2 linked regions of the Sus scrofa genome follow. The protein of the gene in region 1 interacts with the protein of each later gene in a pairwise test. Links are inferred from orthologs where the notes say so. Each region holds a gene or a part of one and is shown on either strand. Other genes may lie near its edges.

Region 1 (3,645 bases):
ACTCACAGTTCAGAAATAACCACTGTTAACATTCTGTTTTATTTCCTTCTGGTCTTTTTCCTGGGTAATATCTTTTTCTTACAGTTTTGTTTTTCTTTGCAACCTTTTAATTAAAAAACCCCCAATATTTGGAATTTTATTCTCCTTCATTTGAACTCTATTTTTATACTAATAGCATGTTTAAAGTGTTATTAAATAGTCTTTATCCATTCTGCCAATATCTGCTATTTACATTTAACATAATTATTTATAGTTGCCATTTTGCAATTTATTTTCTGTACCTTCTTTTTTTGTTATTCCTCAATTCCTCCACTAACACTCTTGTTTGTGTTAAATAGATATATTCTAGTGCCCTTTAACTTCTCTTATTATTTCTTTTACTGTGTATTTTTGAGTTATTTCTTAGTGGTGATTGCCCTGGGGATTATAAATAACATCTTAATTTATGACAATCTAGTTCTGATTAGTACCAACTTTATTTCAATAGTATGCAAAACATTTACTCCCATACGGTTTTGTTACACACTCTCTTTATGCTGTTATTGTCATAAATTATATCATTATGGGAGTTCCCGTCGTGGCGCAGTGGTTGACGAATCCGACTAGGAACCATGAGGTTGCGGGTTCGGTCCCTGCCCTTGCTCAGTGGGTTAAGGATCCGGCGTTGCCCTGAGCTGTGGTGTAGGTTGCAGACGCGGCTCGGATCCTGCGTTGCTGTGGCTCTGGTGTAGGCCAGGGGCTACAGCTCCGATTAGACCCCTAGCCTGGGAACCTCCATATGCCACGGAAGTGGCCCAAAGAAATAGCAAAAAGACAAAAAAAAAAAAAAATTAAATAAATAAATAAATAAATAAATAATATCATTATACATTGCATACCCATCCACACAAAAATATAATTATTACTTAATGTGTTGGTCTTTTAAATTAGATAAGAAAAAAAGAGAAATTACATACAAAAAGTTACATTAATACTGTCTTTTATATTTATATATATAGTTACCCTTTAACAGTATTCTTTATTCCCTCATGTGGATTTGAGTTACTGCTTAGTGTCTTTTCATCCTGAAGAACTTCTTGCAGAGCAGATGTACTAGCAGCAAATTCAGTTTTTATTTATCTGAGAATGTCTTAATTTACCTTCATTTTCAAAGACTAGTTTTTTCTGGATATAAAATTCGTGGTCGACAGTATTTTTCTTCCAGTACTTTGAACATGTCATCCCACTGCCTTCTTGCCTCCATGGTTTCTGATGAGAGATTTGCTGTTACTCTTATTGGAACTATTTCTTAAAAATACCACTTAAAATAGTTGCATAATTTTTTATCTTTATATGTTTACCATAATTTATTTAACCATTTCCCAGTGTTGTTTTAATTTTTATAAAACACAAATAAAAACACATATCCTAAGTGTTCCTTGTTCTGTGTTCCTCATACCATAACCTTCTGCATACTGAATGCAGATCTAAGTTACAAGCAATCATAATAAATCATAAGGGGAAAGAAAGGGGTAGCCAGTGATGGGAAAAATGGTGATTGACTGCTAGGGGAGCATCGTATGAGAGAAGCACAAACGTTCCAGGTATTTTGGAGCTATTGGCATCACAATTTGTGCAGATGGCAGTCTGTATTTAAGTACCCTCCTTCTCCTATCTTTATACCTGGGCAATGACTAACACACCTTTGGCCACTTTTAAGGCTAGGAGAGACATATGATGAAGGACTCAAGCTCATCCTCTTACCTAGACTGAGGTTACTGCCTGAGTTCCTCCCTCCTTTCTTTCTTTCTCTTTCTTTCTTTTCTTTCTTCCTCCCTTCCTCTCTTTCTTTCTTTTTCTTTCTTCCTTTTGTAATAGCTTTATTGAGATACAATTCACATACCATATAATTCCCTTATTTAAGGTATATAATTCAATGGTGTATTAGAATACTTACAGAGTTATACAATCATTATCACAGCTGATTTTAGGATATATCATCACCCCCAAAAGAAACTTCACACCCTTTAGGAGTAACCCACCATTTCCCTCTCCTCAAATCCTAGCAATTACTAATCTACTTCTGTCTCTATGGATTTGCCTATTCTATACATTTCATGTAAATAGAATAGAAAAGGCAATATATTGCCTTTTGTGTCTGGCTCTTTCACTTAGCATAATATTTTCAGGGTTCACTTGTGTTATAGCATGTCATCAGTATTTCATTCCTTTCCATGGCTGAATAATATTTTCTTGTATGGATACACTATTTTCTTTATCCATGCATTACTTGATGGACATTTGGATTGTTTCTCCTTTCTTGGATTTGTTAATAATGATGCTATGAAATTTGTGAACAAAGGTTTTTTTTTTTTGTGGTAGATATTTTCATTTCTCTTGGGTAAATATTCAGGGGTAGGACTGCTGTGTCATATGGTAACTCTATGAAAAATTGAAAAATTGAGAGATTGTTTTCCAAAGTGACTGCACTACATTACATCCCCACCAGCAATGTATGAGGGTTTTGTATTCTCCACATTCTCTCTCAAACTTGTTATTGTCTGTCTTTTTTATTATAGCCATCCTGGTGGGTGTGAAGTACTATCTTGTAGTTTTGATTTGCATTTTCCTGATAGCTAATGATATTGATCAGCCTTTCATGTGTTTACTGGCCATTTGTTTCTTTTTGGAGAAATGTCTATTCAGATCCTTTGTCCATTTTTATTTGGGTCACTTGTCTTTTTGTTATTAAGTTACAAAATTTCTTTATGTATTCCAGATATGTGGTTAGCAAATATTTTCTCCCATTCTATAGGATGTTCTTTTAATTGCTTGGCTCTTTCAGGGCTCCGTAAAGCTTAGCCATTTCATAATAGAGTCAGAAATATTATGTAAGAAACTATGGATGTGTTTCAACATGAAGGCCTAGGTAGGGACAGAACAGCTCTATTTATGCTATTAAAGAGAGGGTGTGCACTAATTTGCTCTGCAGAAATTCTTGTTGGATTATATGAAACAATGTTTTTGAGGGTGTGGGAACCCCAGGGGAATGCTTGCCTTTACTCTGAACATATCATCTCATTCCAATGACCTTTATGCTTCAATCTTTGATAGGCTCAAGTTGGCTTTCCAGAAGTCACACTTGGAATCCTTCCTGGTGCAAGAGGAACCCAGCTTCTCCCCAGACTTATTGGAGTTCCTGCTGCACTTGACTTAATTACCTCAGGTCAGTACAAACCCAACCAATGGCTGTTTAGATCAATGTGAGGAACTGGCCTAACATTTAGAAAAATCCTGGCTTGACCATTCCATACCCATGTAATCTTAAGAGGATACTTTAAGTTCTTTGATATCAATTTTCTTATCTGTAAAACTGAAAGACTACCTTCTCTGAGAGCTTTTCAAAAGTTACCATAAAGAAAAAATGAGTGCTCTCTAAAACAAAGTGTATACAAAGCTGTAATCACAGTTAAATGTCTACTCATAGACACTCATGTTCACATAGGGTACATTATACTCAGATATAATTCAGAAATTGTAATATAAACAAGAATTAAAATCAGAATTTCCAAGGAAAGTTTTCAAGTTTTAGTTTGGAAATGACTGAATTTTTCACTTCCTTGGTATTAAGACATTGGCTTCAATAGGGAATGTGAATAGTGTAAC
Region 2 (4,238 bases), on another chromosome or scaffold:
TCCAAGCTTTGCATTCCAAAAGGGTCAGGCCCAAGAGAGGCCTGCAGAGTGCCAGGTGGAGGTGTCCAGAGACAGCCAGGATTCGTGGAGAAGTGGGAATGTCCTTAGGGTCAGCCAGCACCTTGTCCTAAGGAGCCTGTGGAAGACTGGTCAGCCCTTCTGGGGCTCCATTGCTGCTGGGGGCATGGAGCATTATGGGGGTGCAAAGCAACTGGGGCTCATCACCCCAGCCTTCCTCCACCATCTGACACTCAGGTACCCGGCCCCCACCCCCAGAGCGCCTCTCCGGTGCGCTTTTTTTCCCGGCCTGATGCATTCTCCTCTATAAATACCAGCTCTGGTATTTCGGGTTGGCAGCTGTTGCTGCCAGGGAGATGGCTGGGTTGACATGAGGCTCCTGACAAAACACAAACCCCTCGGTGGGTGCGGGTGTGGGTGGTGTGAGGAGGGGCATGAATCAGAGGCGGGAGGTGGGCTCGAGGGGAGGAAGCCAGGCAAAGTTAGTGGCATGGGGGTGAGAGTATACAGTTATAATTGTCATCATTGGAAACTGAGAGCCTTCTAGCCCCTTTCTGGAAATCACTGTTGTTTATAAGCTTGAGGCCCAAGCCCAGAGGGAAACTGAGGCTGGAAGGAAGCTGGCACCCCAGTGCTAGCAGACATAACCCAGCAGGCAGGTCTGGCTCCCATTGCTCCTTGTCCCCGGGAAGCCCTCCCAGCCTTTCCACCTGTCCAGAGACCCTCCTCCTCTCAGCCTGGCTTCTGGACTCCTGGTCTTTGCCTGAGCCCTCCTAAGTGCTTGCCACATTCAGAGAATCTTGAGAAAAAACGGGTGATTTGGAGCCTTTCTTTAGAAACAGGCCTTGCTCGACATGACCCAAAATCTCTCCTGGGAGCAAAAACGAGTCCCTGTAAGTAAACATTAGCCTCTCCCCGATCACCCCCAGGAGGAAGCCGGCACCCCAAAGGCTGAGAGGGGGCCCCCCTTGGGGTGCCAGACGTGCTTGAGCCCTGGCCAAGCGCTTGGCTGGCCTGCCCATCTTCTGCCCTTCTAGGTCCATCGTTCTCTCCCACACCCTTCAGGGGCCCCCCTACCCGCCGGCCGAGGGGGCACAGGCCTCTTGCGGGGGAGCTGGCCTCCCCGCCCCCACGCCAGAGGCCGCCCTTTCCTGGCAGGACAGCGGGATCCTGCAGCTGTCAGGGGAGGGGCGGCGGGGGCTGATGTCAGGAGGGATACAAATAGTGCCGTCGGCTGGGGGCCCTGTCTCCCCTCGCCGCATCTACTCTCCAGCCGGCCGCCCGCCGCCGCCGCCGCCTCCTCCTCCGCGCCGCCCAGCCAAGCCCGCGCCGCCACCATGAGCCAGGCCTACTCGTCCAGCCAGCGCGTGTCCTCTTACCGCCGCACCTTCGGCGGGGCCCCGAGCTTCCCGCTCGGCTCGCCGCTGAGCTCGCCCGTGTTCCCGCGCGCGGGCTTCGGCACCAAGGGCTCCTCGAGCTCGGTGACCTCCCGAGTGTACCAGGTGTCGCGCACGTCGGGCGGGGCCGGGGGCCTGGGGCCGCTGCGGGCCAGCCGGCTGGGGGCCACCCGCGTGCCCTCCTCATCCTACGGCGCGGGCGAGCTGCTGGACTTCTCGCTGGCAGACGCCGTCAACCAGGAGTTCCTGACCACGCGCACCAACGAGAAAGTGGAGTTGCAGGAGCTCAATGATCGCTTTGCCAACTACATCGAGAAGGTGCGCTTCCTGGAGCAGCAGAACGCGGCGCTCGCCGCCGAGGTGAACCGGCTCAAGGGCCGCGAGCCGACCCGGGTGGCCGAGATCTACGAGGAGGAGCTGCGCGAGCTGCGGCGCCAGGTGGAGGTGCTCACCAACCAGCGCGCCCGCGTCGACGTCGAGCGGGACAACCTGCTGGACGACCTGCAGCGGCTCAAGGCCAAGTGAGGACCCGAAACCCCCTCTCCATGGGCTGGGGCGTGGGAGGCTAGGCCTAGGACTGGATCCAGTTGTCAGCACCCAGGGAGAGGAGGGTTGTTGCTGTGTTCCCCGAAGGGGAGGGACGCCTGGCCTTTCCCTTTGCTCGCAGTCTGCAGAGGAGGAATCTTCTTGCAGACATCATGAGGAGGAAAGGCGAGACCTGGGAGGACCAGGTGCCTTTTAAAAAGCATCTTAAGATGCTGGGGTGATGTTGCTGGGAGTCAGGTATGTAGGTGGAGAGAGGAGGCCCAAGTGCAGTCAGAGAGAGACTCTCAGCCCATCTGTGATGAGGCCCTGGGGCTGGGGGTGGAGAGGGGATCTTGGCCCCTGGGCCTGGCTGAGGCTGTACAGGGGGACCGGATAAGCTAGAGGAAGGGGGAGAGTGCCTGGGGGGTGCAGCTCTCAGCAAGCTTGGGAGGACTAAATGGTGGGCTCCACCAGGCTCCCAGTACATAAAGGCAGCAAGTATAGAGCAAGGACTCATGGGTCCTGCTTTTGGTGGCCCAAGAGAACAGAGTCCCTGTCCTTCCACCCAGGTCACAAATGTTAAGTGAGCACCTACATGGGTCAGGCTGGGGCTGGGGCCTGGGAACACAGAGGTGGATAAAATAGACACAGTTCTTAATCCCAGGGAGGTCACAGTCTGGTGGGGACAGAGGCTTCCAGGGTGTGGCTCCAAGGCAGCGATTGGGCCACTTCCTGTCCCCTCCCTGTGTGGGCAGGGCCTCCTGCCTCTACCCAGCAGCCATGCCTCCTCTGTGCTAAGCCCATTCTCTGGGCAGCCCCCAGACAGTCTTCTTCATTGCCACTTTTGTCCCTACCGTCTGTCCTTCTGTCTGTCTCGGCCAGGCTGCAAGAGGAAATTCAGCTGAAAGAAGAAGCCGAGAACAATTTGGCTGCCTTCCGAGCGGTGAGTCCTCTTTGGTCCCCCAGAAGCCTTGCTCCTTCTGTCCCCTGCTGCATGGGCTGTAGTCTCTCTCTGCCTTGCCAGGCTGATCAGTGACCCTGTCCCTCCCACCTGACCCCTTCCAGGATGTGGATGCAGCCACTCTAGCTCGAATTGACCTGGAGCGCAGGATCGAATCTCTCAACGAGGAAATCGCGTTCCTTAAGAAAGTACACGAAGAGGTACGCCCTGGTGAAAGCAGGTGGAAATGATGGGACCGGTGCTGGGCTCTGGGAATCGGGGTGTGAGGGTACGTTTGGGGCTTGGCCGGGGACTGAAGCCCGGCCGTACCCTGCAGGAGATCCGAGAACTGCAGGCCCAGCTTCAGGAACAACAGGTCCAGGTGGAGATGGACATGTCCAAGCCAGACCTCACCGCCGCCCTCAGGGACATCCGGGCTCAGTACGAGACCATCGCGGCTAAGAACATCTCAGAAGCCGAAGAGTGGTACAAGTCAAAGGTGGGACTCTGGCCCCTCCGTGCCCCTCCATCCCAGTTTGGAGGTGCTTCCTGTGGCTCCATCTATGGGTAGGAGGGTGAGCCTGGGGTCTCTATGTTCCCTTGCTCACCCCTACCTGTGTCCTGCATCCTCCCTGTCATCTCAGGACCCCTCTCTCTGCCCTTAGGTGTCCGACCTGACCCAGGCAGCCAATAAGAACAATGATGCACTGCGCCAGGCCAAGCAGGAGATGATGGAGTATCGCCATCAGATCCAGTCCTACACCTGCGAGATCGATGCCCTCAAGGGCACTGTGAGTCCTTGGTCACCTCACCTGGCCCAGCCCGCACCCTCACTTTGTGACCTCAGGCCCATCACATCCCCTCTCTGGGCCTCTCTCTCCTCAGATCTGTCACAGGGGTGAAAACAGACAGGTGGATGTCTGGAGGGGCTCCTGCATGGCCAGGAGAGGGGGGGTGTGAACAGCCGTGCTCCTTTTTATCAGTTCTGTTCTCTGAGTTTCTACATAAGTCTTCTTTTGAGTTCAGAGTTCCCTGGCTCAGAAGAGTGACAAGCCCTAGATGTGGCCACCATCTGGGGTTGCCTCCCAGCCCCAAGCTGGAAATTTCCCCATCCTGGGCCCGAGTGTCCCCTCTGGCCACAACCACAGCCTGTCCTTGACCCTGGGCACCCCTCCCCTGCAGAACGATTCCCTGATGAGGCAGATGCGGGAGCTGGAGGACCGCTTTGCTAGTGAGGCCAGCGGCTACCAGGACAACATCGCACGCCTGGAGGAGGAGATCCGACACCTCAAGGATGAGATGGCCCGCCACCTGCGCGAGTACCAGGACCTGCTCAATGTCAAGATGGCCCTGGATGT

What was found. The genes of interacting proteins can lie anywhere in the genome.
Region 2: the proteins of EHHADH (region 1) and DES interact in binary tests that used the Homo sapiens proteins (3 or more experiments, as listed by UniProt). The two-hybrid records come from large-scale screens. The link is inferred for Sus scrofa from reciprocal best matches to the Homo sapiens genes EHHADH and DES.

What each region holds. Positions count from the first base shown.
Region 1 is NC_010455.5:123,148,588-123,152,232, reverse strand, and holds part of EHHADH (peroxisomal bifunctional enzyme), read left to right. Parts: intron 1-3,093; coding exon 3,094-3,205; intron 3,206-3,645. UniProt on the Homo sapiens protein: Peroxisomal trifunctional enzyme possessing 2-enoyl-CoA hydratase, 3-hydroxyacyl-CoA dehydrogenase, and delta 3, delta 2-enoyl-CoA isomerase activities. Catalyzes two of the four reactions of the long chain fatty acids peroxisomal beta-oxidation pathway.
Region 2 is NC_010457.5:121,427,288-121,431,525, forward strand, and holds the start of DES (desmin), read left to right. Parts: upstream 1-1,314; 5' UTR 1,315-1,355; coding exon 1,356-1,936; intron 1,937-2,822; coding exon 2,823-2,883; intron 2,884-3,005; coding exon 3,006-3,101; intron 3,102-3,217; coding exon 3,218-3,379; intron 3,380-3,545; coding exon 3,546-3,671; intron 3,672-4,062; coding exon 4,063-4,238. UniProt on the Homo sapiens protein: Muscle-specific type III intermediate filament essential for proper muscular structure and function.